Elephas maximus indicus: one gene and its partners. The protein of the gene in region 3 purifies or fractionates together with the protein of the main gene of each other region. This does not show direct contact. Links are inferred from orthologs where the notes say so. Each region holds a gene or a part of one and is shown on either strand. Other genes may lie near its edges. The genes, in order: CAND1, COPS7A, CUL2 and GLMN.

Region 1 (7,419 bases), about 120 Mb from region 3:
TGAATAAGCAAGATGGAAGAAGAATTGATGCCTTGAATTACGGTGTTGGGGAAGAATATTGAATATACCAAAGAATGCCAGGAATGCCAGAAGAACAAACAAATCTGCCTTGGGAGAAATACAGCCAGAATGCTCCTGAGAAATAACAATGGTGAGACTTCGCCTCACATACTTTGGACATGTTATCAGGAGGGACCAATACCTGGAGAAGGACATCATGCGTGGTAAAGTAGAAGGTCAGTGAAAAAGAGGAAGACTCTCAAGGAGATGGATTGACACAGTGGCTTAGACATAACAACAATTGTGAGGATGGTGCGGGACTAGGCAGTGTTAAGTTCTATTGTACATAGGACCACTCTGAATTGGAAGTGAGTCGATGGCAGCTAACGAATGATGATGACAAGGTTGAGGAACATGTTTTGTTCATCTTTGTATCCCCAGTATAGTTCTTGGCACAGTGTAGGCACTCCATAAATGTTCGTGAACATTTGTTGTGTTACTGGTTGTACTACTGTGTGTACAGTTGTACTACTGGTTAATATTGGAAAGGCCTCTCAACAGCTTCGAGAACTCCATTTTTCTGATCCTCTGAAACTTCTAACCTCAACTCTCTATTGTGGCCATTGAATGGGAGGAGAACTCTTTGAGGTTATCCTTATCTGGACTAATTTCCCTTTGCAGCTAAAATTAATTCAGCATTAAAACATACTTAAACAAAAGCTTTTTTCCTCTGTGTTTGGTAATATGCTAAAATACACAAACTAAATCTCCAAGTAGTTGAGAATACAAAATGAAATTAAGTTCTATTGAGTGCTTATCATGAATTTGTTGTTGTTGATGTGTGCTAGCGAGTCAATTCTGACTCATATTGACCCTAAAGGGCAGAGTGGAACTGCCTCGTAGGGTTTCCAAGACTGTAACCCTTATGGGAGCAGACCGCCGCATCTTTCTCACAAGGAACAGCTGGCGGGTTACAACTGCCGAGTTTTCAGTTAGCAGCCAAGTGCTTAACAGTTGTGCCCCCAGGCTCCTTATTGTGAATTTGGCCCTGGTTAAGTACTTAAAACACCACCTATCCATCACTTTGTTGTACTGTGGTGGCTTGCATGTTGCTATTTCAAATACCAGCATAGTCACCCATGGTGAACAGATGTCAGCGGAGCTCCCACAGTAAGAAAGACTAAGGAGAAAGACTTGGTGATCTACCTCTGAAAATTAGCCAATGAAAACCTTATGGATCACAACTGAACATTGTCTGACTCCCTTACTTTGGACACAACATCAAGAGGGATTGATTGTTAGAGGAAGTCATCATGTTTGGTAAAGTAGAGGGCCAATAAGGGCATGAGAGTCCCTCACTGAGATGAATTGGCACAATAGCCACAATGATTGATTCAAATATGCTGATGATTGTGAGGATGATGTAGGACCTGGCAACATTTAGCTGTGATTCATATAAGGTCACCATGAGTCAGAGTTGGTAGCTAACAACAAAGTACTTGAATGAAGCAGCAGTGTTTTAAAGATGGTACATGCTCTTACTGAACTTATACTCTAGTTGGAGGCTAACATACAAACACTATCATTAGTTCAAGACCCTAGAAAGGGGGATTCTAGACTCAAGACTCCAGACCAGGAGAAACATTCTAGTCTAGTGGTTTGGAGTATGGGCTCTGAAGCAAACTGCCTGGGTTTGAATCCTGACTGCACCTTGTTGGTGACTTTTAGCAAGTTACTGAATATCTTTGTATCTCTCGTACTTAAAGCGTGGGTAATACCAATCTCATGGGCTTTTATGAGGATTAAATGAGTTAATACACTGCTGGTCCATAAACAATTATTATTATTATGTACAAAGACTTGGAGTTGGGTCTTTGAGGGATTCAAAAATACATTAGTGGGAGCAATTCCTGTATTAGAACAGTGGAAGAAATGTCAAAAGGTTAGGGTCAGATGAAGGAAATCACTGATTGCCAAAACATTTTGCCTTTATTCTGTAGTAGAGAGTCGATGACCGTTTTAAGCAGGTACTATAAAAACAATGTTTTAGACAACTCTATATTGTCTTCGAGTCGAATTGATGGGTTTGGTTTTTGGTTTTGGTTTATACTCGCTGCGTAGAATGGTTTGGAAATAAAAAAACCAAACCCAGGGCTGTCGAGTTGATTCCGACTCATAGTGACCCTATAGGACAGAGTAGAACTGCCCCACAGAGTTTCCAAGGAGCACCTGGTGGATTTGAACTGCTGACCCTTTGGTTAGCAGCCACAGCACTTAACCACTATGCCACCCGGGTTTCCTGGTTTGGAAATAAGGACAAATAAAAGGCTGAGAGAATATAATAGCTAACTTTCATTAGACACTTTCCTGGACCTTTGTAAGTGTGCAAGAAATATTAGTTATAAGTTTCATTTTTATGTTCCAGGCAATTCGCTAAGCTCTTTATATGAAGTATTTTATTGAAGTCTCAAAACGACCTCTGATGGTCATTGTTTTACCCATGAAGAAACTGAGGCTCAGTGATTAAAGTGGATTGCCTAAGATGGCTAGTAAGGTGCAAAAACACGATTTATATTCAAGCTATCTACCTCCAAATATTATAGTTCAGCTGGAAACTGATAAATGAAAGGATTTATACACACACACAAAAGACAAACATGTCTTGGTGTCTGATTGGATACAGGCTATAGGAAAGGGTTACCACCAGATAACTGGCATTGCAAGCGATGGGGTCCACAAGAAGAAAAAAATGACCTGCTAGGTTGTGTATGTGATGTGTGTGTGTAGTTTGTGTGTGCAGTTTATATTATAAATTGTGGAAAGGCTGTTCAGAGCTGAAGGGAAATGTGGCTGCAGCGATTACGTAAATTTGACGAAATAGGCCCTCATGATGGCCGAATTGGGTGAAATAAGGAAAGAGACATGGCATGAATGGGGAGGAAAATAATATTAAAGTATAACGGTACACGGGAGTAGATAACAGTAATGAGGGAAAATTTAGGTATTGTACTATGATGCCAGATCATGCTTCATCTGTTTTAACATTGTTAAAAAAAAAAAAAAAATTTTTTTTTTTTTTTTAATAACAAACCCAGTGCCCTCGAGTCGATTCAGTGCTTGGCTTTTTAGAAGACATTCAGTATCTGGTGAAAGCATCAAAGAACAGTAAAGAAACGTCAGGTTGGTTTTATCTGGTTTGACGTACATGGAAGTACAAGCCTATTGAAAGGATTTTTTGTTTTGTTTTTAACAGGAGTAGCTGAATGAGATTTTTTTTTCCTCTTCACTGGGCTATTTTCTTTTAGAAAGGTCTGTCAGCTTGCTCTAATCCCACCTACCTCAGACCCACATCAAATTTTTAGGTGTTGACGCCCAGTTGACAAAATTCATGTAAAAATCCCAAATGTTGAGCAGATAAAAACTTGGATAGTAAAACAGAAGATTTCATATCTAACCTTGATGACTGTGTTTGTCCGAATGAACAAGAAAATACACAACTGCAGGATTATGAAGTCAACAAAAATTGACTACAGAAGATGGTCTTTTAGCTGTTCTGAATAGGCTCCGAATACAATTATTTGTAGTTAGCCCATCAGTCTTCTAAGGTCCTGCTTGCCTCAGAAAGGTGGCTCTACGGAGAGAAGGAATGAGGCTACGGTCACACTCGGATTAGTACTAGATGTCGCTACTAGGCCTCTGCCAAGAACTCCGAAGTCCATGGATCCGTAATGCGCCTGCCCAAACCGGAGCAGTTTCGCTCTGCAAACATCCCTTAACAACAAATACGTCCACTACAGGAAATCCCAATCCGCAGCAGAAACACACCCCACGCTAATCCTAAGGTTTTATCCAGCGGTACTGCCTCCCTAGCCTGCAAATCCCAACATTCAGTTCTCCCATGGGAGCCAATAAGGAAGCTACAAGTTCCTGCAGCCAATCACATCCTGAGCCAGTGTGCCTCTCCTACTGAATTCTGGGATTTGTGGTTTTCACGTGGCAACACTACACCACGGTGGTTAAGACAATGTAGGCCGGGCGTCCGATTCGAAAGGAAAGCTTCCTCTAATAATTCTTCTGTTGGTCCTAGGCTAGCCCCTTAATTAGCATTAGTCCCAGGCGTTACAGTCATTAAAAATCGTAAACTTATTCTCTTAATGCTATATAGAAAAAATTCTCAAGTATTTTCAGATTACGGCCCTCTTGTCCCATTCGCCTGCCGTCCTTTAACCGTCGCCTTATAGTCTCGCGAGAACAGCTCCTTTTAGTCGCTGTCATGCCTCCTGAAAGGCCGTTCACGCGAAGACTGACATCGGTATCAGCCAACAGGATTGCTCTTTAACTAGCAGCTCTAAAGCGTGCGTGGGGAGATCTTAGTGAACCTTGACCCCGGCTCTCGGTAGCGTCCCGCGCCTGCCACCCCCGCCCTCGTAGTGAAGGAGGCGGGTTTTGGCCACTTGCCCTAAGGAGCGAGTGCGGAGGGAGTGGGAGCGAGACCGGCCAGAGTGAAAGTGCTTGGCTCATCGGTGAGGCCCTGCTGTACTGCTCTGCAGCCCATGAGCTCGTTCTCCCGCGAGCAGAGCCGTCGTTAGGCCGGCACCGTAGCCTTTGCTTCCCCCGGGACGGGCCCTCGCCTCGCCGGGGAGGGGGCTGCCGGTCGAGGCGCCTCCCTAGTCAGCGTCGGCGTCGCGCTGCGATCCTGGAAGCGGGAGCCGCCGCAAGCGAGAAGAGGAGCCCCAGCAGCGGCGGCGGGCAGCAGCTGCAGCGCCAGCGGGCGGGATCGTGGCCGTCAACATGGCGAGCGCCTCGTACCATATTTCCAATTTGCTGGAGAAAATGACATCCAGCGACAAGGACTTCAGGTGAGGCTGAGATCCTTCCCTAAACCTGCATCTGGACCCCCCCCCCCCCCCGTCTGCGGCCCTGGCCCTCATCGTTGGCCTTGCCCCACCTCTTCGGCCGTAACTGGTTTCCTTGCTTCCCCAAGGTCTCCAGCCCACCTCACAGCTCCCTGATCCCCTCAGGCCCCTTTTCCTCCCCACCTTCCGATCCTCCCATTCTTTTCTTTAGGCCGTTGCCCGCCACCGGCCTTGGGCCCTTCCTTCTGCGTCCCCAAACGCCCCCACCACATTCCCGGCGTCCGGGACGTGATCCTCGCGACCCAGGTAGCGCGAAGGGCGAAAACACCTACGACTGTGGGGAAGGGGGTTGCTCTAGGCCTGGAGACCGGACAGCGGGGCCTACCCGCCGGCCCGCCCGAGGCGCTAGGCCTCTTTTGCTAGCTGGGGCCGAACCTGCTGCCCACTCGGGGATCCACCAGGCGCCTTCTGCGGGGGCGTGAGAGGGCCTGGCTGGCTTCTGCTTAAACTGTTAACTTTTTTGGAGCTTTTCGCGGGTTGGGTTATAGACTTTTTCTTTGTATTATTCTCCTGGTGAAGGTGGGAAGAAGGGGGAGGGGGAGCCAGGATGGAGGAAACTTGGCTGCTACGGTTTTCCCGCCAGCATCTCTGTCAGTTTCGCTTGGCAGGTTAAAGCCAAGCAGGAACTCGGGTTTTCAGTCTCAAGTCCTTGTATCCAAAATCACTGCCAGAGGAGTGAATCGCTGAACGTGAAACGGAAAAGTCAACCGAGCAAATATTCTTGTTGAAAGAAGGGGTTTTCTAACCTGGGACTGGTGGTTAATGAAGCTGTTTCGTAGAGGTTAAGTTCCGGGGGATTTGAACTGTCGGTTCCAAATTCTTGATAACATGAGTATTGAAGAATTATGTTTTCACGAATTGCCTTGGTTTCTTTCTTGCACTACAGTTATTGTTAAGTGTCTGCCTTCCATCTCCTCACAGATAAGCTCTCAATCTAAAAAAGCTTTTCATTTCATTGTACTTAGGTTTTCTTCTCCGAAGTTTTGTAGTGGTCATAATTCGTGTGCATTTTAAAAGCACGAACAAAGTCTCCAATTAAAATTGTGGCCGAAGAGCATACTTTTTTCTGGCAACTGTACACCTGAAACGTGTGAAACCATATTGACCAGGAAGAAACTGCTCAGTTTGTTAATAGAGAGCCATTAGTAAAGTTAATGGTTGTTTTCCTAATTAAATTAACATATTGTTGTCGTTGTTAGGTACCAGCCAGTCGGTTCGGACTCATAGCGACCTTATGCACGACAGAACAAAACACTGCCGGGTTCTGTGCCATATAGTGGTGTATTAAAACTGCCAGTAGAGTTTGGTTCTGTGACTTCAAAACCAAATAAGATTTTTTAAAAAAAAGTTTTGCTATCTAAGGAGTTTTTAAGTATTGTATTTGAAACTTTTAAAACCCAGTTTGGAAATACTAAAGATTTCAGTGTTGGGACTTTGGAAGTGACATGTTTATTTTGCATATTTTAGAATTTCAGATTTGTGTAGTTCTAGGGCCAAGATTAATTGGGAGAAATGAAAGAAAAAAAAGTATTAAAATGCTGTTTGATTCTCTTTGGAGCTTTGCTTGCTTACATTGAGATTTGATATAAATATTTGAATATACATAACTTTAACCTGCATAAGGTGTGTGGTGTGATTTTTCTTTCTGTCTGTTTGGTTCGTCCTGTATCTATGAGTCAGAATTGACTCGATAGCAATTAGCTTTTGATATAAGTGCTAAATTCCATTCTGATTGTGTTCAATTTCAGCGTAAAGGTAGCCCTTTCCCTATAGTGACCCAACCCAAAAACCCACTGTAGTGGTACAATTTTATTCAAATATTCAGAATAGTGTATAGGTAATATGTTTAGGAAGACTAAAGGAAACACTGGATGTGACGATATTGCATATGTGATGATTGACTGTGAAGTTTCCTTAAATAAACTTTATTTTTAAACTTATTGTAGTAAAGGAAAAACACACATTTGTTTTTTTCTATAAACCGGATGTAAGAAATACTATTGCTCTGAAGCTATCTGTAGTCAGTGCTGAACTTTATAAGGATTATCTACCAACTTGGGTTTTAATGAATCAAAACGTTGCTTAGATGATTGGTTATTCCCACAGAGTTATAATATTGATACAGATATTTCTGAGAATGGTGAATATTATAGAAAATATATATAGAAACAGTAAAAGGCCTCTAGTAATTTCGCATCATTAAGGTATTTTTACAAACGTTACTGTAAAGACATATTTGTAGTACACTCTAGCCATCCACTTAACAGCCAGGTCTTCGGACTAAAGTGCAGTGTTTTTTAAATTATAGACATTTAAGGATTAAAAAAAAAAAAAAAGGATTAGTCGAAATGGTGTGCATTTGAAGTCAAGTATATTGAAGATTTTTCCATATATTTTCAGCACAGATATTTATTAAATACATCTTTTTAAGTTTTAATTATTTAGGTGCCAGTAACATGATTTTGTCCCCTGTGAGTGTTAAAATACTTTATGTCTGAAATCT
Region 2 (7,793 bases), about 54 Mb from region 3:
GTCGATTCCAACGCATAGCAACCGTATAGGACAGAGTAGAACTGCCCCCATAGAGTTTCCAAGGAGCGCCTGGTGGATCTGAACTGCTGACCTTTTGGTTAGCAGCCATAGCACTTAACCACTACCCCACCAGGGTTTCCAAGAGAGTAACAAAAACTCATTCAGCCTAAAAAGCTGCAGGTAAGAGAGTTTAGATACAGACCTCAGGGGGAGGGGCAGGAAGAAGCAATAGTTGGGTCGAAGCTGTCCCAATGCTAACTCCCTGACTATGAGCCCTTACAGAGGAACATCCAGAATGCTCTAGACCTCTTTGGCTCTGGGCTGGGGAACTGCCACTTACCTTGACTTTGGCAGCCAGCGTGACAACTGATAGGTGTCGAAGTTTATTCTTCTGGGCCTCTGTGAGTGGGGGAAGATTTCGGGCTTCAGCTGAAAAAAAAGGATAAAGTATAGGGAATCCTGATTTCAGTCTGTAGGAAGCCCTAACCCCCATCCCTTACTTTTTTTTTGAGTTTTCTATGTCAATCCAGGTCTTGACCTGGCCCAATACACCTAGGAGATCCAACCAAATGAAGTACCCCAGGAATTTCTTCCAACTAAATTCCTCCAGAAATTGCCCTTCTCCCATCTCCACCACTCTAGAGCTCCAGTCCATCCCTCTGGTTACCTAGATAGTCAGCGTATGTCCCATAAGCAAACACCGTAAGCAGCCGAAATGTGGAGGCAAAGTCACTCTCGGCCAGCTGCAAGAATAGGAGAGAAGAGAAGAAGTGACAGGAAGGGCCTCCCTCTCCACCGTCTCGGCCTTACCCTGTTTTAAACTCCGTTTTCTAGTCCTCTCTTCCTGCTCTAATGCTAGCTCTCTCATTCACCAAAAGGAACTCTCTGTCTCTCTGAACACATTCCCCTTAGGAAGGGCTTGTTTCCACCCCCAGGCCTTTTTGCTATTTCCCCAATCCACAACGCCCTCTTCCTCCATCTGCTATTCAATTCCTACCCTAAATTCATGGCTAAAAATATTGAGTGCCCACTACCTGAAGGACACACAGCAGACATTGCAAATTGTGTTGTCTGGCCCTCTGAGTATGCTTCATATTTCTAATCAAGATTCCTGCCTGAGCCTCACTCATCCTGACAGCTACATGGCTGAGGCAGGCATGTGAATTTGTGGCCTCTGCTTCAGACCCACCTCACCTGGGAGGCTTACATCACCCAGTCCAGCCCACTCAGATGTCCTCTCCTCCTACCACTGGTACTTCATCAATCAACCTCCACCTAAGCTTGTTACCTAGCAATACCTTTCTTGTCAACAAGATTATAGGCCCAATCTCTGGTATTCCGCTCAGGATCTAGCGGAGCTATGCATGTAGTTGCATCTTTCAATAAATACTTGCTAAATGAGTGGCTTAGAGACTTATATCCATTCATCCTATCTCTTCACCTGGAATGTAAGCTTCAGAAGGGTAAGCACTATGTTTTGTACTTTTCTGGTGTTCCCAGATGACTAGCAGAGTGTTAAACAGGCACTCAATAAATACTTCTTCCACTGCAGAGGAAAGCAGGGAAAGAAGGTAAGAGTTTTCTCTGTACCACAGAGTGATCCTAAAAGGCTAAATCCATTGACTCAATCACAGGCCTTCAAAAACTTGCTTCAGTTGGTCCACTGTCATAGCATCTTAGGACTTGAACAGTGTCATGTATCTTGGCAACACTCACTCTTTTTAAACTCTTAACTTTCCCACTGTATTAGTAGCAACTTGCGATATCTTTGGGAGAAAAGACACCTTCTACGTTACCTACCTCAAATGAACAGCACATGGTGCAAAGGAGGGAGAACAGGGCATACTAATTTAGTATGTTCACTCCTCCCATCTGTACCAGGCTTTATGCTTTCCCATAATCTCACTTGATTCCCACATTAACGGTAAGGAAGGCAATATCATCAATATCATCTCCATTTTCAAGAAAGAAAATAAAAGTGACCTGATCAAAGCGATATGTTTACTAAGAGATACTACATTGGTGGAGACAGGCTGGAACTCAGGTCTCCTGTTATGAGTCACGTGCTCTTTTGCTTAAAAGTCAAAAATACTGGATTTTACAAATCCTTCATCTCACAAGGGAAGCTTAGAAGTTTACCTGCTTGCTTACTTTTGCAAGCTGCCATCATCATCATATTCGTATTCAACTGAATGGTTACATAGCTGCAAAATGAGCATTACCCACCCATTCTCAAATTCAAACTTTAGCCCCAAGCTTCACTAAGAGCTATCCAGGCCAGGAACCCACCTCTCTAACGTTGGGCATATCCAGCAGTTCCCCAAAGACATAGACACCAGGGGCCTCCAGCACCTGGTGGATGAGTGTGGCCAGTGCTGCCCCCTTGGCCGACTTGGCCAGAAGCAGAAACTGCTCCTGGTTCTGCCCTGTCACCTTCACCTCCCCACTCATGGCTGCACTGAGTTGGAGGCAGCTGGGCTCAGGATGTCTGGAGCTGCAAGGAAAGACGTTGTGAAGCTGGAGGTCTCTGAACGCTGGCAGGATGGGAAGATCATGGGGGTAGGGCTGAACTGCAGAGGCACTGAGTCGCTTCTACAATGAGGACTCAAGAGATAGAGTGGTTAGAACGGGGATCTAGGAATCCTAAAGCTGGTCGTTTCGATGGGAACACGAATGAGACAGGAATGCCACACCTACCTTCTCCCCCGACCCCTGGGCGCTAACCCCAAGCCTCACCACGTGCATCCCATTGAACCCCAAGGCACAGGTGCAAAGGGGAAAGGAGTGTCACATGGTGTCCACCCCACCAACGAAGATCCCTCGATTCGCCCCTTGTGCCCCCAACCACGTGACCTTACCCCCACGCCCCTTACGCGTGGCTCCGCCCCTCCTTAAAGAGGCCTCCCTGGAATCGTAGGGTCCGGACGACTGCCCGTCCTACCCTCGGTCAGAGTCTGTGGGCCGCTACCTGGAAGCTTCGTCTTCCAGCGCACCGGGCGGGGCCGCGGCTCCGTCACCTCCGGCAGCTGTTCCGAGCCTTTCCTGCCACCTCTCCTCCCAGGGTCGCTCTAGCTACTAAACTCTATGGACGGTTTCCGACCGTACTTCCGCTCCTAGGGGCAGGTTTCGGGCGGGACATGCTGGGCCCTGCTTTCCGACCATTGAAGCTCCAGTGAGGGACGCAGGCATCCTACTCTCTGATTCGTTGCAGGGAGAAGAATGACTTGTGCCTTTTTTTTTTTTCCACTGTTTCGATAAAACTATTGGTGAAAGGGCGGTGGATGCTAAAGGTAGACAACCTTCGATCCCTTTGAGTGTCGGGCTGTGTGTCAGCTCTAAGCTGTCGGAGGCCTGGAGACCCAGGGTGCAGCTTGTGCCTAGAGCAAGAGGGAAGCTGTAGTGGAAGGAAAGAGGGAGAACGAAAGAAGAAAAAACAAAAAACGGCAGGATGAAAGAGGAAGGGGGACAATAATAATAGAAGGTGAGCGGCAGAGATCACCTGGGTCGTTCAACCACTAATTTTTTGAGGAACAGGGGAAAAGAAGTAGAAAAGGGAAAGGAAATAATAAAAAAAAAAAAAATAGCTAACATGTATTGAGTGCTTATTTTTGTTTGAGCATCTTTTAAATTTTTTATTCTGTTGAATTCTTAAAACTACTGCCTTCTCAGTCAGACTCCGGGACCCCCTCTGCCCTGAGTACAACATGTGCTTGGAGAGTGACGCTTTCCATACGTTGACTCTTAATTCCTGGAGGGGGGGGCCCTACGTGGAAGAGAGGCATATGTTGTTATTCTCATTTTACAGATAAGGAAGTTGAGCTTCAGAAAAATTCAGGGATTTGCCTGGAACCCAGGTCTTTTCAAATCCAAAGCTGTCTTTCCACTTCACCTTGATACTTTAGGGGGAAAAAAAAAACCCTGAGATTTCTTTAGGAGAAGTAGTGGTAGTGAGTGGATGAGATGAAACAAAGTCGAGAAGGAATAAAAGGCATAATAAAATATGCAAAGTCTGAAGGGACCAAAGAATTTAATGAGCCCAATCTTATCACTTTAAAACTATAGGAGAAAAGAACCAACATTTGTTCTATTATATACCAGGTGTTTTTTGGATCGATTTTTTAAAAAAGACGCTGTGTCTTTACAGAAAGCATTTAAGGTGCCTATTAATATCTCACTTTACCTGTGAGGACACTGGATCATTAAGGAACAAATAATTTCTTAAAGATCACCAGTAAGTGGTAGAGCTAAGATCCAAATGCGAGTCTGTCTGATTCTAAGACTATGTTAAGAAACGGAGGAAAGAAAAGCAGAGAGGAAAAGAGAAGAGAGGAGGAAATGGACAACCTGAGATACAGTCCTGATTCAGACTTAAGCTAGCTGGGGCCTTAAAGCAAAGCATCATGCCACCTTGTGATCTCTTCTGTACCTGCGAAGTGAGAGATTATATGACAGAATCTCTAAGGCTAATTTTGATTCTGATGTTTTACAGCTCTATGAGAGAAAGACAAGAACAAGGAGAAAAGAAAATGAGGAACAGTTACTAAGTAGAACAAGAGGTGAATGTGGAGAAAGAAATGAGAGAGGGCTGGACTAAAGAAGTGAGGTTTAAAACAGCAGAGAGAACAGGAAAAGGAGTAGAGGTGATAAAGACAAGATAAATGAATAGAAATGGGGAAAGAGGAGGTGACAGAAGAAAAAGAAGCTCTCCAAGGGGAGAATGGGAGCTAAGTAAACTTACACAAACCCCAGGATGTAGTATTCATTCATTATTAAGTGACAGTTATGTTCAAGGCCATGTGCCAGGTGCTGTGTTGGCAATGCTAATGATAGAGAACAAGATGACTGAATTAAAGCTAGAAAAGCTGACTGACATCCAAGGAGTCACACACATAATAAAATATTCATTGTTGATTCAAAAATATATATTGAGCATCTCTTATTGCCACACATTGTCCTAGTCACTGGGGACATAGACAAAATCCTTCCGTCTTGGTATTTACATTCTTGTGGTGGGATGCAGGCCATAAATAAGATATATAATGGTCCCAAACTAAAAAACAAACCTGTTGCTGTCCAGTCAGTTCCGTCTCGTAGCGACCCTATAGGACAGAGTAGAACTGCCCCATATGGTTTCCAAGGAGTGCCCACTCGAACTGCCGATATTTTGGTTAGCAGCCGTAGCTCTTAAACACTATGCTACCAGGGTTTCCATAGAATGGTCAGGGGGTGATAAATATTATGAGGAAAAATAAGAATGAGGTAAGGGGGATGGGAAATGCAGAAGAGATTTGCTATTTTATATAAGCTACTCAGGAAAGGCCTCTTTAATATGGTGACACTAGAGCAGAGACCTGAAAAATGTGAGGGAACAAGTCACGTGGATTTTGTGGGGAAGGCGTTCCACGCAGTTACAAGTGGAAAGGCCCTGGGGTTGGAACATGCTTGGTGTGTTTGACAAACAGCAGGGGGACCTGTGTGGCTAGAACTGAGTGAGCAAGGAGAGAAGTAGGGGATGGGATCAGACAGAGCAGAGTGGCCAGATCATGTCAGGCTCTGTGGGCCACTGTATGGACTTTGGCACTTCCTCTGAATGAGATGGGCAGCCAATGGAAGATTTGAACTGAGGGGTGACATAATCTGACCCACATGTTTAAAATATGATGGCTGCATGGACAGAAACAGCAGGGCCAATTTGGAGGTTACTGCAACAATCCAGGCAAGAGAGGGTGGTGGTTTGGACCAAGGTGGTAGTGGGGGAGATGGGGAGAAATGGTTGAATTTTGCTTCATTGTTGTAAGTATATATAATACAACACTTGCCAGTTCAACATTTTTCAGGTGTACAACTTAGCGATATCAATTACATTAATCTTGTGCAACCATCACCCTTAATCGGTGCCAAATTTCCCATCACCATAAAAAGAAACTTACTGCTTCCCAAACAATGGTTCTCCTCTCGCCTTCCCTCCCACCCCTGGTAACCATTAATAAACTTTTGTCTCTATATACATTTGCCTATTGGATTTTGGATTTAAAATGAAGATAGACTGAACAGAATTTGCAGATGATTAGATATGAAGTGTGAAGAGTCAAGAAAGAATGACTTCACACAGGGAAGTTGTGCCAGACTTTCAAAGTACAGATCATCTTAAATTTTATATAAACTTTTCCTGAAAATAGAAAAAGAAAGAACACTCTTCAACTCATTCTACGGGATCAGAATTACTTTTAATAACAAAACCAGAAAAAGACAGTACTAGAAATAAAATTACAGGTCACTCTCACTCATGAACAGAGATAACAAAATCTTCAATAAAATACTCGCAAGGCAAATCCAGCATTGTGCAAAAAAGATAAGACACAAAACTAACTTGAATTTATCCCAGGAATTTAAGGGTGGTTTAGTATTAGAAAATACATTCATTTTATTTGCCATATTAACAGATTAAAGGAATAAACAATATAATCTTAAAAAACACAGAAAAGCATGTAACGAAGTCAACATGTGTTTGTGATAAAATCTTTTAGAAAACTAGAAGGGAGCTTCCTTAAACAGGTAAAGGAAAAGACACATCACCACTTCTAGTTCATATTGTAATGAGGATCCTAGCCAGAGAAATAAGGAAAAGGAATAAAAGATAAAATGAATGGGTACAAAAGGAACAAAACTTATTATTAATAGATAATGTGATAGTACATATAGAAAATTTAAAATAATCCAGAAATGAATTACTAGGATTAACAAGAGTTTGGCAAGATTGAAAGATAAAAATATCAATATATGACAGTCCTATTTCTATATATAACAGTTGATGATGAATAATTTTTAGAGTTACCACTTGCAATTGTATCAATATCAAATACAAAGGTATAAATGTAACGAAATATAAGAGCTGTATGCAGAAAATTATAAATTATTTATTGTGAGAAGGTGAAGAAGACCTAAAATAAATCTAGATATAGATCATATTCATAGATTGGAAAACTGAATACCATGAAGGAAGTCAATCCCCCCCAAAGTGATTTATAGATTCTGTACAATCCCACTCAAAATCCCAACAGGCTTTTTTTTGTGGATGTGTGCAACTGATAAATTGATTATAAAATTTACATAGATATACAAAAGGCATCTTGAAGAAGACGAACAAGGTGGGAAGACTTGCTTTACTAGGTAGAAGGACATGACCATAATAATGAAGATAGTGTAGTATTGGCACAAGGATAGATAAATCGATCACTGAAATGTAACATAGAGCCCAGAAACAGACTCACACATATATAGACACTTGATTATGACAGAGGTGCGAGGAGAGAGAGGACATACATTTCAATAAATTACACTACGATGATAGGGTATCTGTATGGAAAAAAATAACTCCTCTAAAGAAGAGTATATTGGTAGGGCAGTGTTTGTTCTAAGAGATATTTAGATTTATTTGAAAGCTATAGAATTTAAGCTTTTAAATGTATTACAAGTGTAGGTTTTAAAAAGTTGACCAATGGAACTGAATAGTATCCACAAACAGATCTACACATATATGAAACCTCAATATATAACAGAGAACTCCTACCTTAGGCTATATACAAAAGTCACTTCCCACTACTATACCACAGACTAAATGTAAAAGGCAAATTAAAAGCTTTTAGAAGATAATATAGAAGAATATATTCATGAATTCAGGGTAAAGACATACTTCTTAAGACTGATACATACTAACTGTAAAGGAAAAGACTGATAACCTTGACTACATTAAAATTAAGGACATCTGTTCATCAAAAAACATTTATAACATA
Region 3 (7,592 bases):
TTCTACTTTGTCCTACAGGGCCACTGAGAGTAGGAATCAATTTGACAGCAATGGGTTTGGTTTCTGAAAAATTGCTTTGGTGTATCTTCTACTTCTAATGGATCTTTATGCATGCATGATTTTGGAATATCATGCATTGGTCATTTAGAAAATATTAGTTTAGTCTGTCATGCAGATCTTTTATATGTAGACATATTTCATCATACCTATTGCTGCTGAGTCAATTCCTACTAAATGTGACCTCATAAGACAGAGTAGAACTGCCCCATAGGTTTTCTAAGGCTGTAATCTTTATGGAAGCAGACTGCCATATCTGGAGGGGGGGGTTTGAACCATGGACCTTTTAGTTAGCATCCTAGTGCTTAACCACTGCACCACCAGGGCTCCTTAAAAATGTGTTTCATGGAAAAAAGCAGCTAGTTCAGCTCACTCCCAATCACAAAAGTGCTCTTCAAGACAACCATTATACTTTGGTACACATCGCAAGTGCATGTGTACTTTCCATTTATTCGCACAGAATATTAAAAAGACATGTACTCAAGGGTCAAAATTTAATAAAATTAATACTTTTTGCTACATCATCAAGGATATTCCTAAGTCAATATTCTTTTTTAAAAACTGAGAGTGTGTAGTAGTGAAGAATACAAGGGTCCAGTGACGATTAAGACAGTTTTTTTGTCACCATCCTAATTCCTGCTAAGGTGCCAGCAGTATTATCATAGTTTTTGCACTATCAGTGCTCATGTTAAACCCAGTATTAAAAGACAGAGAACACGCTATATGATTGGAAAATGGTTTTTACCTCAAGGATCTTTGAAAAGGTCTCAGTGACTTCCAGAGGGTCTCCAGATCACACTTTGAGAACCACTGATTTAGAAGAGGATGAGCATGTGAGAAAAGGTCATATAATGGAAACAAATTGCTAAGTTAAAATAAAGAGTACAGCGCTCAAGTATCAGGAGAAGCGGATTAGAAGAGGAGGAAGATTAACAGGATTTATCAGATAAGGAAACAGGATTTATAATAGGCCTTTAAGGAGTGGTAGAAATAGATTCGATGCAGTGAACATTAATGACAGAAGACCAGACGAGTTGTGGAACGACATCAAGGACATCATATATGAAGAAAGTAAAAAGTCATTAAAAAGACAGGAAAGAAAGAAAAGACCAAAGCGAATGTTAGAAGAAACTCTAAAACTTGCTCTTGAACATAGAGTAGCTAAAGTGAGTGGAAGAAAGAACCAAGTAAAAGAGCTGGACAGCAGATATCAAAGGGTGGCTTGAGAAGCCAATGAAACGTGCAAAGGCCTGGAGTTAGAAAACCAAAAGGGAAAAACATGCTTGTCATTTCTCAAGGTGAAAGAACTGAAGAAAAAATCCAAGTCCCAAGTTGCAATATTGAAAGATTCTGTGAGTAAAATATTAAACAACTCAGGAAGCATCAAAAGAGGATGGAAGGAATACACAGAGTCACTATACAAAAGAGAATTGGTCTACTTTCATCCATTTAGAAGGTTAAGTTTTTTTTTTTTTTTTTATATGATCTAGAACTGATGATATTGAAGGAAGAAGCCCAAGCTGCACTGAAGGCTTTGGTGAAAACAAGGCTGTAGGAAGTGATGGAATACCAGTTGAGATGTTTCAACAAATGAATGTAATGCTGGAAGTGCTAACTCCTCTATGCCAAGAAATTTGGAAGACAGCTACCTGGCCAACTGAGTAGAAGAGATGCATATTTATGCCCATTACAAAGAAAGGTGATTGAACAGAGTGCAGAAATTATTGAACAATATCATTAATGTCCTAAGCAAATAAAATCTTGCTGAAGATAATTCAAAAACAGTTGTAGCAGTACATAAACAGGGGAGTGCCAGAAATTCAAGCTGGATTCATAAGAGGACATGGAACAAGGGATATCACTGCTAATGTCAGATGGATCTTGGCTGAAAGTAGAGAATACCAGAAAGATGTTTACCTGTGTTTTATTGACCTTGCAAAGGTATTCTGCTCTGTGGATCATAACAAATGATGGATAACATTGTGAAGAATGGAAATTCCAGAACACTCAACTGTGTTCATAAGAAACCTGTTGTCTTAGTTATCTAGTGCTGCTATAACCAAAATACCACAAGTGGATGGCTTTAACAAAGACAAACTTATTCTTTCACAGTCTAGTAGGTTACAAGTCCAAATTCATGGTGTCAGTTCCGGGGGAAGGCTTTCTCTCTTTGCCAGCTCTGGAGAAGTTCCTTGTCCTTAATCTTCCCCTGGTGGAGGAGCTTCTCAGGCACAGGGACCCCTGGGTCCAAAGGACATGCTTTGCTCCTGGTGCAGCTTTCTTGGTGGTATGAGGTCCTCCCTTCCCTCTGCTGTGTCTCTCTTTTTTATCTCAGGAGATTGCCTCAAGACACAATACAATCTTGTAGATTGAGTCCTGCCTCACTAACACAACTGCCGCCCATCCATCCTCATTAACATCATAGAGGCAGGATTTACAACATATAGGAAAGTCTCATAATACCAAGAATCATGGCCCAGACAAATTGAAACGCATATTTTTGGGGGGACATAATTCAACGCATGACACCTGTACATAGACCAAGAGGCAGATGTTGGAATAGAACAAGGGATATTGCGTGGTTTAAAATCAGGAAAGATGTGCAACAGTGTTGTATCCTTTCACCATACTTATTCAATCTGCATGCTGAACAAATAATCTGAGAAGCTGGGCTATATGAAAAAGAATGGGGCATCACCATTGGAGGAAGACTAACCTGCAATATGCAGGTGACACAACCTTGCTTGCTGAAAGTGAAGAGGACTAGAAGAACCTACTGATGAAGATCAAAAACTACATAAAGAAAACAAAAATCCTCAGAACTGGACCAATAACCAATATTATGATAAATCATAAACAGAGAAAATATTGAAGTTGTCAGGATTTCATTTTACTTGGATCCACAAACAACACCCATGACAGCAGCAGTGAAAAAATCAAAGGACACATTGGTTTGAGCAAATGTACTGCACCAAATTTCTTTAAAGTGTTAGAAAGCAAAGATGTCTCTTTGAGGACTAAGGTGTGCCTGACCCAATCCACGATATTTGCAATCCTTTCACATGCATGGTAAAAATGGACAATGAATAAGGGAGACCAAAGAAGAATTGATGCTTTTGAATTATGGTGTTGGCAAAAAAAGTTAAATGTATCGTGGACTGTCAGAAGAATGAACAAATCTGTCTTGGAAGAAATACAGCCGGACTGCTACTTAGAAGCAAGGACAGGGAGACTTCATCTTAAGTATTTTGGACATGTTGTCAGGAGGGACTAGTCCCTGGAGAAGAACATCATGCTTGGTAAAGCACAGGGTCATGGAAAAAGAGGAAGACCCTCTACAAGACGTATGAACAAAGTGGCTGCAATTAATGGGCTCAAACAGCAGTGATTGTAAGGATGGCGCAGAACCCAGCAGCGTTTCGTTCTGTTGTACGTAAGATCGCTAGGAGTTGGATTCCACTTCAGGGCACCTAACAACAAGAAAACAGCGTGGAAGAAAGAAGCTTGGGAAGGAAAGGCTTGCGCAAAACGTTCAAACGAACCATATACGAGAAGCTCTTGTGGAATAAAGCCGGGCTCGGCTGCTAACCAAAAGTTCAGCAGTTCGAATCCACTAGCTGCTCCTTGGAAACCTAGGGGCAGTTTTACTCTGTCCTGTAGGGTCGCTATCAACGAGGTGTTTTTTTTGTTGTTCCCTGGGGTACTATATATTTAAGATGATAGATCAACCTGTATTTTGTCAACACTTCCATTTAAAATTCTTAGAAAAACCCTTCAGATGGATAGGGAGGGAAGGGAGGCAGGAGTCGGTCTTCGATAAACCTGTGTTTTGTCTACACTCCCTTTTAAAAATCTTAGAAAAACCCTTCAGACGGATAGGGAGGGAAAGAAGGCGGGGAGTCGGTGATCAGGGCTATGAAAAGAATTTCCTTCATTGAAAACACAGTTATGCCCCTCGATGTGTCGATAGACTGAAGCCCACTAGAAAAGGACTACGTCGGAGAGAAAAGGAGTTTTGCTAATATGTTTTTGATGACTCGATAAGCCTGAAGTGGGCGGCAGCAAAGAGACTGAGGTATTTTAAGATATCCATTGAGGCGTAAAACGACTCAAAGGAGACGGCTGTCATTGAGAACAGCCCTCTGCCGTATTTTTACGAGCAGTCTCAGAACTTGGTGAGCTCTGCGTCGCCCGAGCTCGGAACCGGGCGGGCCCCTCAGCCAGCCGGCCCCGCGGAGACTCGCTCCCAGCCCTCGCCGTGGCCGTTCGCATTTGCACTAAGGCAGGTGCTTCGCGCTTGCCGTATCGTGGACTCTACCATCCCCTCCTGGGGGGGAGCTCGGGAAGCGGCGGAAGAGGGAGAGCCGGCGGGCGTGTGTGGGGCAAACCCGGACGGTCCGGAGGACCAGGGCTTAAAACCCGTACCCGGCCCTCCGGGCCCCGTCTCCCCGCCCCGCTCCTTCCGCGATCGAGGCCGGGGCGAGCTCGGGCTGTGCTGCTTTCCCGCGCGGGCGTGGGTGAGTGTCCAGCGCGCGGGCTCCCGGGCTTCGTGGCCCGTCTCCCCCGCGCCTGCTGCGCCGGTGGCGGCGGCCGAGCGGGGAGGCGGCCTCTGCCGCACAGTAATGGCAGCGCTGTGAGCAGGCGAACGCGAGCTGACAGCCGCCGCCGCCGCCGCCATCGCCATCGCCCGGGCCTTCGTCCTTCCCTCCTCCGCGCTGGCTCCCCCTCCCTCCGCCCGGGGCCCTCGTCCTGCTTCTGCAGAAGGTAGCACCGCTGCGGCCCGGGGACTGGGCTGCAGGCGCCTGGAAACTTCCTTTCCCGGCGAATGGGCGGCGGGGATGGGGCGGGGAAGAGGAGTTGGGGGCGACGGGAGGGGAAGGTGGGTGATGGAGGGGCGGCCGGGGAGGACGCGTCCTGGACGCGGACCCGGCGCCCCAGGGCGCTGGCCCCTACGCCCAGTCATCCCCGGGACTGGATCCCGGGCCTCCCCAGGCCGGCCTTGGCCGCCCCTCCCTCGGCCCCATTTTCCTCCGAAGGAGGGAAGGTGGGAGTGCGTGTTCTCCTTTGATTATTAATGTGTCACGCGGGCACACAGCTCGGCGTTTGGGTGGGAGGGGGCGCATCCATCTCATGCATCCTTACTACGAGTGTTTTTACTTTTGTTTCCACAGACAGCAAAGATTAATTGCTTTGGGGAGAATACCCTACGTGCAGGTTGGACCTTCTGTCTCAACATTTAGGGTTTAGTGAAATAAGATCCTCGCTCTCTTTGGAGCTCTTGCACACATTCCCCACTGCCCCACAAAAGCGCGCATGCAAATGAGACTTCAGTGAATTCCACGCTCTTATCCTTAAATCCTCCCCTTTGACCCACGGGTTACTCTTAACAAGTTGAAGGCTCAGTACCCTGGAAGTTTAAAGTTTGAAAAGAATAATATAGAAACTATTAACATTACTATAGACTCTTTTGACTTTCCAATATAAAAACATTTGAACTAGATCTGTCCCAAACCTACATTCATATACATTCATAGTAAAATTTGGAAAACAATCAAGTTTGTTTTTCTGTAACGTCTCCTGACTACAGAACGCATTAAAAACATTCAGAGACTCATGCCTACTCTTTGGAATCTCACCTTACTTTCCAAGACAGAGACATGAACACGTTTGCCCAAATGCATCGTTTGGAAGGCTCTGCCATCAGAGTCACAGATGAAATAACATGTATGCAGTGCTTTGCGTTATACCTTTTAAGATGCTGTTTATGAGTTTGGGGAACATTTCCACAGTGCGCATGCACTTTGTATGTGAAGAATACTTTTTCTACTAATCTTTTTAATATTTGAATGTTCACTCTCCACCCTCTTTGCTGATTTGCAATGTCTTATATATATGAAGATTATCTATGTCTTTTCTCCTCACCAGCATGTCACTAAATTGAATGTTGTGAACCTTTTTAAAAGTCAGTTCTACCCTGTCTACCAACTAACAAATATTTATTAAGCATCCGGTTTGTGTGCCAAGTAATGTTGCGAGCATTAGGGATAAAATAAATAAGACACGTGAGATTTCTGCCCTCTTGGTGCTTTAATTCTGGTGGGGAAAGGAAGAGACAGGCAATAAATATGAAATGAAAATAATTTCAGAGAATGATAACTGCTATGAAGGAAATAAAATAGAGTTGTAATAGTGATAGGGAGAAGACCTCTGAGACGTCTTTGACCTGAGGCCTGAAATGTGAGAAGTTTTGAGGGAAGAGTGTTCTTGTCTGAGGGAACAACAAATGTAAAAGGTGGTATAGAGCATGAGTCCCTTGAATTGAAAGAACCTCAGTGAAGGTGGACTCTAGTAAGTGATAACAGATTAGATCATAGCCAGGGGCCAGATCATATGAGGTCTTATTGTCTGAAGAAGATTTGCTTTTATTTTTAAAGTACATTGAAAGCTAATGGAATTATCATTCTTGTTTTTTAAAGCTGGGAGTGGTACGGTTTCATTTACAACTTAGAAAGGTTGTTCTGGCTGTAGGGAAGATTGGATAAAAGTAGAAGAGAAACTGCAAGACCAGCTTGAAGGCTGTGGCAGATTTAAATACAGGAGTGGCTGTGAAGTGTTAAGTAAAAAGGTTTGAGGTAGATCTTCTTGGTGTTGGAGATATATTTATTGAACTTGTCATAGATTGGATGAGAGTGCATTTGGTTTGGAGGAGGTAACTTCTCTTTGGCTTCGGCAGCTAGAAAATGGTCATGCTGTGTATTGAGATGGGGAGAAGATGAGGGGATGGCCGTACGGCTGGACTGGACTTGTTAAGTTGGATCCATGAGAGATTCAAGTGGAGGTGGAAAGCAGGCAGTTGGATATACAAATCTGGAATTAAGTGGAGAGGTTAAGGAGTCCTTCATTTATTCAACAAATATTTTTTAAGCCACAGCTGTGGACCAGGCAGTGTGAATATAGTAGTGAAAAAAAAGACAGAAATCTCTGCCTTCATGGAACTTAAATTCTAATAGGGAGAAAAAGGCAGAGATGGGAGTTACCAGTGTTTATCTGTTTATTTATGTTTTGAAGAGAAACTATATTTACGTGGTTCAAAATTTAAAATGCCCAGAGGGTACAGAATTAAAAGCCTCCCTGCACTTCTTGTCCCTTCACTTAATTTTCCTTTGTTTCCAAACAATGTTAGCCATTTCTTATGTATCCTTCCAAAGATATATTTTGTGCACATATAAGCAAATATGTAGATATTCTTTTTTCCACTTTGCAAAAATGATGGTATATTTTACCTGCTTTGACACCTTGTATTTTTTAAGGTTTTACGTAGTACTTAAGAGTTATGAAACAGAAGATTACCTAAAGAAAGAATGTAGCAAGAGAGAAGGCCCTGGGGCACTGACTTTTTCTAACTTGGTCTTTGAGTTTTTGACCTTCAGATGTGGAGTTTTTTAAAGAGCTGTTACCTTTTGTGAGAATTTGTGCAGAAGTTTTCACTGTTTCTTTTGTGTTTCACATGTCTTATTGGCTTATTTTCTTTATAG
Region 4 (7,712 bases), on a different chromosome or scaffold from region 3:
TTTTACTACTACGACTCCTACTACTGCTAATCCTACACAACAGACAGGTTATGATGCTGACTCAGAATTTAATATATTTCACTCCCCAGAGCTCAGGTTGAATAGTATCCTAGACTGAATGGTATCCTAAATTACTTTTATGTGTGGTCAATACATGAGATAATCCTAAAACATTCCAAGTACTCTGGGGTAAGACTTATCCTCCAGAATGAAATTAGAAAGAATTAAAGCATAATAGAAAAGTCACCTGTAGAAATGATCCATCTTAAGAAATGATGAACAAATAGGTAGCTATTTGGGAAGTACCGAGTCAGATCTATCTGAATTCACGTAACATCAGGTATACTCGGGGAAAAAAAAAAGAGTATCTGGATCTGAGGACTGAAACTTAAGACCTCTCGGACAGTTCTTGAGATATCTATAAATAGCAATCCTACGCCTCTGAGCCCCTTCTTCTCTAACTTAAACATTCCAACTTCTTCAAGCATTCCTTGTGGGTATGCTTTTTAATTGTAAAATAAAATACATAAAATTCCAAAGGTTATTATAAGGCGAACACCTTTGTAATTACTACCAAGGTCAAGACACAGACCTTTGTTAGCCAACCCAGAAACCTCTCCCTCTTCCCAGAAGTAATCAGTATTTTGATTCTTATTGTAATGATCATTTTGAGTTATTTTTATAATGGTATTATTTAAGTAATATCCCTAGACATTATAGTTTAGTCTTGTCTGTTTTCTTTAATTTGGTATGTCTTAATCTTTTAATCTACAGGTTCTCTCACCATCTTTTCCTTTTTTGTAACAATTTATCCATTGCAGAACCTGGGACATCTGACCTATAAAATCTGAATTTTGCTCATGGCATGCTTGCAGTGCCATTCAATATGTTCCCCTGCACTTCCTGCATACTAGCAGCTGGATTCAGAGCTTCATCAGACTCATGTTTTATTTCCTTGGTAAGACTGTAAGTGTTGTTGATTCTTTCATCCAGAAACTAACCAGTTGCCATTAAGTTGATTTTGACTCATGGCAACCCCACATGTGACCTTTCACTATCAGATTGCCAGGCTTTTCTTCTGAGGTGCCTCTAGGAGGGTTTGAACCTCCAACCTTTCAGTTAGGAGTTGAAAGATTAAGCATTTGTGCCACCCAGGGAGGTGGGAATTGTCAAATAGCAATTCTACCATTTCTTTTTCATTTTTTAGTTGCAATACATTTATAAAGAGCCGCTTCCCCTCAACAGCTATTTGGCTACCTCCATGGATTTTTAACTGTTTCATCATCCTGGGTTGTCTGCTCAAAATACATTTCAGCTCATCTATATTCCTCAAAAATGAACTATAATCTCAGGTTTGTGGTCAGATCAGTGTTGAGTAGAGTTGCAAACTATCACCATTAATTAAACTTTACTCTTGCAGTATTTCCTAAAGCCCAGCCAATAAAACCATGTTGTTCCACAGGGAAAAACCCCCCAAAACAGAGCTGAAACGCATCTACTTTCTTCAATTCCAGGTAACCACCATTTCTCACTTCTTAAAACTACTTTTAGAACCTAAATTCCATCATTTGTTACTTAATGTTTTCTCATTTGTACTTCCAACAAAGATCTGGATTACTCACCTACCAGCTACTATCTGAACAGGATCCTACGTCTCTCTAACCTTTTCCTATACGCCTTTCCTCCCTTGATCAGAATGCTGCACATCACTCTGGCCATCTCCTTTCTTTCTCTGTCTCTCTCTTTTTTTTTTTTTAATCTCTGCAGAACTTTTTTTTTTTTTTACTAAGACCAATAATAAGTAGCACAAAGTGAAAACACTATCCCTTCCAAAAAAATTCACATAAAAATTATGCATAAACCCATTAAAAAAACCAAACCCATTGCCGTCGAATAAATTCTGACTCGTAGTGACCCTACAGGACAGAGTAGAACTGCCCCATAGTTTCCAAGGAGCGCCTGGCGGATTCTAACTACCGGCCTTTTGGTTTGCAGCCATAGCACTTAACCACTACGCCACCAGCGTTTCCTAAATTATGCATAAGATTAGAATAATTCTAAATAAAAACCAATAGATCCACTCCTTCCTCTCTTGAGCCACTTTCGTAGTTTTACATTTCAACTTACAGACTTAATTTCTCTCACTTTTAAGAATGATTGAGAGCCCTGGTGGCACAGTGGTTAAAGTGGTCGACTGCTAATCAAAAGGTAGGCAGTTCAAAGCCACCCTCAGCTCCGAGGGAGAAAGATGTCGCAGTCTGCTTCCGCAGAGATTTACAGTCTTGGAAACGCTATGGGGTGGCTGTAAGTCAGAATCGACTCAATAGCAGTGGGTTTAAGGATGATTACTCAAATATGATTTGTGCCAGACGGGGTAAGTCAGCACAACATTGTCAATGAAAGCTAGGCCCTTGAGAACTAGGCTGGGGGGAACCTTGCAAACTCGCTGGCCCCAACACACATCAGGGTTTGTGTTCAACTCTTTGGTCCTCACAGACTCTCTGCAGGTGAGGAAGGCCTAAACCACATGACAGCAAACAATGTTTCCGCAAACCAAAGGATAACATGTCTCTTTTCTTTGAACTGGCCAACCTCTTTCTTGTTTCAGGGTCTTCACACATATTGTCACCTCTGGCTGTAAGTCATTCGTCACTAGTCTTTGTCTGGTTAACTCCTACTTAGCCTTCAGGTCTCAGTGTAATTATTACTTCTTCAGAGAAGCCTTTCCCTGAACCCCACAGCTACTCTCCCCTCCAGCTCCCAGCTAAAATGTACTCCCATTATTAGTTCTTCCTCATAACATCATAGCCTTTTCCTTTATAACACTTCTCACAATTTGTAAGTATACAATTTATAAGTATACCTTGTGATAATTTAATTGGTGTCTCTCTATTCCACTAAACAAGAACTATGTATGGTAGGTCTACCCTGTTCAACATCATATCCTCAGGGCCTAACACAGATCTGACATATTTTACACTTGGTAGATAATTTTTGAATGAATGAATAAATTAAGACTAAAGCCAATACAAGATCAGTGAGCCTTCATAAAGTGAGAAATTCTAGATATATATTTTAATCCTCTTCATAGGCTATGCATATTCTAGAAACCTTCTGAGACAGGTGATAATATTTTGCTTTTTTAGGAGAAGCCAAGAGACAGTACAAGACAACTTTTTGATGAAAATCTGGAATGGATGTAAACAAAGAACAGAAAAGGCTTCTTGGAGTGACAAAATGAGAAGGTTGCACAGTAAGTCTCTGGCATAGCAGTAATGAGTGAGTGTACCTGAAGAGGTGGAAAAGGAGTACCAGGTTAATACAGGCATGTTTATTGTCACAGACTTCTTTCTACAGATACTCATTAGCAGCCTAGAAATCTCTGGTTTGGTTTGAAACAGTCACTGTGAGAATTTATAGTGCTTCCCAGACTTCTACCTTCCCTCTCACAGTAACTTTCTCTAAGGTAGTACCCATTACGGTTTCAAAAAACGGTTCAATTAATATGAGATAGATAAATGAATGCAGTTCTCCAAGAAGTTCTCGTACCTCTTGGAAGCATCTTCTTGTTTGGAGGCACTTGTGTGTTTGGTACCTACGATTAAAAAAAAAAAAAAAAAGTAGGTCAAGTCTGCACAAAGACATTAGGCACAGGACAGATTCCTGTCCAAATAACTCAAACCGCAGGCCATCTTTTCCACACATTTCATTTCTAATCCTGTACGTAAACCAAAATCAAATGGGAAGAGAATCCAACTTACTTTTGTAAATTAATTATTCCCTAATTTTTCTTGGTTAAAATGTTATCTCTTTTGATTTCTCATGTATCAGAGTTGCAGGAGTCCTGGTGGGACAACCGTTAAGCGCTTGGCTGTTAACCTTGACAGTTCGAACCCACCCAGCCTCTCCATGGGTGAATTTGCTTCCGTAAAGATTACAGCCAAGAATACCCTATGGAGGCAGTTCTATTTTGTCAAAAGGGGCGGAAATCGACTTGAGGGCACCCAACAACATCAGAACAGCTTACTTACGCCCTTCTGAAAATCTGAGTTTTGGAGCAACCTTTTCCTGTCTCCTTCCTGTTGGCCCTCTGGCGGGGGAAAAGGGTCGGGATTGACACCTCAGAGAATCAGGGCACCACAGCAGCCGCACTTCTGTAGCACACTGGGCCGGGGTCCGAAGTCTGCTGCGCACGGCTTGCCGTCGCTGCCCTGGGCACTTGCCCACCTCTGAGGCTGGGGTCAAACCACGACGGGAAAAATCTTGGCACACTCCTGTAAAAGGGTCGGAGTCTGCCCGGGAGATCTTGCCCAGAAGGTGCAAAGGCGAGGGTGGGGAGCTCTACGGTCTCCCCATAGGAGACCCTCTCCCCTGGGTCAGTCTTCCGGGAGCTCCCCGCGCGCCTTGGTGTGGAACTCTGCCGGAGCTCAGGTATTAGGGCCCAAACGTGGCAAAAGACCCTTGTTCCTACCTGCGGCCTTACGGGAGGCGCCGGGAGCCCGGGCCTTGCGGCCGGGAGACAGCTGCCCGGCCCAGTCAGCCATGGAAATGCGTCGTCAGAGCGGAGAGCGGGCGTCGGCGTCTCTCCCCGAGGCCCCGCCTCTCTCACGTAGGCGGGGCGGGGCCGGGGGAGTAGGCTGCGCGGCCTGCGGAGTGGAGGAGGGGACTGAGAGCGGCCGGAGGCTGGGCGGGTGAGTGGACGCGCGGGGGGAGCCCGGGTCGCTGGGCCCGCGGGTGGGTAGTGAGGGCGTAGGGCCCGGCGCCGCGGGCAGACCGGGCCCGCCAGGTGATGGGGGCCGAACGCCAAGGACAGCAGGAATCGGGAGAAATGGCTTCCCTTGGATGCCACCAGCACGCGCGCAGCGGTTTAATCCGCCCTCCAGCGCGCCGCTGTGAGGACCCCGCAGACCCGCGCCGGTAGTGCAGGGCTGGGGCCGGGCCTTCCGGCTGGGAAAAACGATGGTCGATGAGACCGGTTCTTCCGGGGACCGCCGGTGGCCTGGTCTCCAAGTAATAAAGTGATTACAGTGACCAAATTGATTATCTTGGCGACTGCAACTCTTAGAGAGCAATGTCACCGCCAACCCTTGGGCTGGAGGGCATCTGAAGTTTCACCCCATTTGAATGAGTTAAATGTGTTGCTCTCAAATTTTTGTCAGGTGGGACATTAAAAAAAAAAATTCCTAAATGATTATAACTTGGATTTCAGGCCCATCTTTTGGGAATTTTTTCAAAAAAGACAATTTCACTTTATTTAAAAAATCCTTTATAGAGTTCATATTTGCCCTATCTCTTAAGAGTGCTCTAGAGGAGTTTTTTTCCTCTTTCAAAATAATACTCCTAGAAAACTTAAAAATACAACAGAAAGAAAAGCAACATCTTTTAAAAAAATTTTTTTTTAATTTTCTTAAAGCTAACACATTAACTTTCAGTAATAACATTTTTAGCTTTGAAACGTTCCATTTTTTAAATTGTGTGTGCTAATATTATTTTTTTTTTTAATAATGCAACAGAATAGAACAGCTTCCGAATACTGCAGTGTAATGCCACTGTTAACAGTGTGTTTTGTGTTAGTACGTTTCAGCATCAAAACTAGGGGAAAAAACTAGAAATGGCTGTGGAGGAGCTTCAGTCCATAATAAAAAGATGTGTAAGTAATTTTTTCTTTTTAATTACATTTGAGGTCACTCATTGTTTATTTTCTGTAATTCTTGCTTTTATTGACCTGTGAATAAATAGCATGAGGGCTGGAAGGCAAATTGAATTATGTCTCCAAGTGACATACTTATCTAAATAATCTTAATTTTAATGCTGATCCTTTTCATAGATTTCTTTGGTAAAGTAGATTTCGAGATCATTCATTGGGAATATTTACTGGGATCATCCTGATTTTCGTGCATATACTTAATGTGCAACCCATCTGGAATTCAAACAGGTTTCTCTTTTTTCACAGAGATAAAATAAATCAAGTAGTTATTGTATTGAGTTTTTATTTCTGTATGTGTTTTTTTTTTTTTTTTTTGCCAGCAAATCCTAGAAGAACAGGACTTTAAAGAAGAAGATTTTGGCCTATTTCAGTTAGCAGGGCAAAGGTGCATAGATGAAGGGCATATAGACCAGCTATTAGAAATTATCCAGAATGAAAAGAATAAGGTAAGTACTATTTTTGTGTGTACTTTTCATTTTTACTGGGAAGAGAAAACCACATGATGATATTATCTATTTATTTATTTATTTATCAAATGTGTAAGTATCAACTAAGAGCAAAGTATAGTAGAAACTATGGAAGACAAAAAAGGAATTAGGCATATTCATATGTTTTAAGGTCCTTGCAGTCTGGTAGAAGAGGTAAATACTAAACTACTAGCAATAAAGAGGCAGAATAAATGAAATAAGTGCTATAGTAGAAGTAGAAGTAAAACTCTTCAGTAGGAACGAGGATTGCTTGTGGTCTAGAGGAACTAAGAATGGCATTTAAATCATGAATTTACGTAATACAAGTCTCACGCAGGTTAGACACCCATTTTTGGTGACCAGCAAATTATCTTGATTGAGCCAAATGTGTGTGGAAAACCAGATTTTAAGCAAAGCAATATTTTGTATACGTGCATAGAATCTGAAGGAGCCCTGGTGGCGCAGTGGTGAGGGCTTAGCTGTTAACCAACCAGCTGCTCTGCGGGAGAAAGATGTGACAGCCTGCTTCTGTAAAGATGACAGCCTTGGAAACTACGGAGTAGTTCTACTCTGTCCTATAGAGTCAGCGTGAGTCAGAATCGACTCAACAGCAACGAGTTTGATGTAGAATATCATCCAGCTGTGATAGTCTGAGAAATCATTCTTTACAGTGGAAATGGGTCTTGTTTGTGGATCAGGGACAATTGATGTAGAATATCATCCAGCTGTGATAGTCTGAGAAATCATTCTTTACAGTGGAAATGGGTCTCGTTTGTGGATCAGGGACGACTTTTTCCTGGGACACAGTGTTAGAGACACACTGCCAAATTTGTGTCTTTGTACTCCCCTTCTTATGAGTACAAGGCCCCTGAGGAGTGCAAATGGATTGTGCTTGACTCCTAACCTAAAGGTTGGCAGTTTGAACCCATCCAATGGTACCATGGAAGAAAGGCCTGGTGATTTGCTTCTGTAAAGAAATTGCAGCCAAGAAAACTCTGTAGAATAGTTCTGTTCTGTAACACGTGGGGTCACCCTGATAGGACTCAACTCAGTGACAGTGGGTTTGGGATTTTTTTGTTGTTGTTCATATGAATACAGGGAAGACCATCTTCTTCCTAGGAACATGCTCTTTCTTTCATTTATAATACTGTTTATTTATACAAAAGTTTTCTTTTTTGATACCCCAATCTAGTCGTGCTAACCTGTGATTATATCCAAGGCATCTTAATTGGATTTGGGGACCTCATAAAGCTTTGTAATCGCATATTGTTGTAGAATCTCTTATTCAGCAGTTCAGAGGGCAGCCCTTGCTTTTTTCTTTTTTAGCAAAAATAGGATATTTTATTTAATATATTTGCTTTTGATCTGTGTTTATGGCACCTTTGTAACCCCAAATAAAGTAAATTTTGTGGTTTTTACCCTTCTTGGTTTTATTTCTTGAGTATTTACTATATGTCAAATGTCTTTTTAAGTGCTTTGCATCTGTTAACCCATTAGCCTCTCCAGAATCTAAATTCGCTTTGTAGATGAGGAAACGA

What was found.
Region 1: the proteins of CUL2 (region 3) and CAND1 purify together in Homo sapiens (affinity purification with western blotting; 7 studies listed by BioGRID and IntAct, with this or other methods). This does not show direct contact. The link is inferred for Elephas maximus indicus from reciprocal best matches to the Homo sapiens genes CUL2 and CAND1.
Region 2: the proteins of CUL2 (region 3) and COPS7A purify together in Homo sapiens (affinity purification with mass spectrometry; 3 studies listed by BioGRID and IntAct, with this or other methods). This does not show direct contact. The link is inferred for Elephas maximus indicus from reciprocal best matches to the Homo sapiens genes CUL2 and COPS7A.
Region 4: the proteins of CUL2 (region 3) and GLMN purify together in Homo sapiens (co-immunoprecipitation; 4 studies listed by BioGRID and IntAct, counting the BioPlex papers as one, with this or other methods). This does not show direct contact. The link is inferred for Elephas maximus indicus from reciprocal best matches to the Homo sapiens genes CUL2 and GLMN.

Annotation. Positions count from the first base shown.
Region 1 is NC_064822.1:127,802,471-127,809,889, forward strand, and holds the start of CAND1 (cullin-associated NEDD8-dissociated protein 1), read left to right. Parts: upstream 1-4,383; 5' UTR 4,384-4,791; coding exon 4,792-4,859; intron 4,860-7,419. UniProt on the Homo sapiens protein: Key assembly factor of SCF (SKP1-CUL1-F-box protein) E3 ubiquitin ligase complexes that promotes the exchange of the substrate-recognition F-box subunit in SCF complexes, thereby playing a key role in the cellular repertoire of SCF complexes.
Region 2 is NC_064822.1:63,479,354-63,487,146, reverse strand, and holds the start of COPS7A (COP9 signalosome complex subunit 7a), read right to left. Parts: upstream 3,081-7,793; 5' UTR 2,942-3,080; exon of another isoform or gene 2,859-2,941; intron 2,495-2,858; 5' UTR 2,452-2,494; coding exon 2,290-2,451; intron 744-2,289; coding exon 668-743; intron 430-667; coding exon 341-429; intron 1-340.
Region 3 is NC_064822.1:9,106,151-9,113,742, reverse strand, and holds the start of CUL2 (cullin-2), read left to right. Parts: upstream 1-4,375; 5' UTR 4,376-4,574; intron 4,575-4,619; exon of another isoform or gene 4,620-4,821; intron 4,822-7,592.
Region 4 is NC_064821.1:149,944,911-149,952,622, forward strand, and holds the start of GLMN (glomulin), read left to right. Parts: upstream 1-4,634; 5' UTR 4,635-4,691; intron 4,692-4,698; exon of another isoform or gene 4,699-4,917; intron 4,918-5,330; exon of another isoform or gene 5,331-5,513; 5' UTR 5,514-5,611; coding exon 5,612-5,650; intron 5,651-6,027; coding exon 6,028-6,153; intron 6,154-7,712. Other genes in the region: putative RNA polymerase II subunit B1 CTD phosphatase RPAP2, read right to left, coding at 3,550-3,595, 4,472-4,544.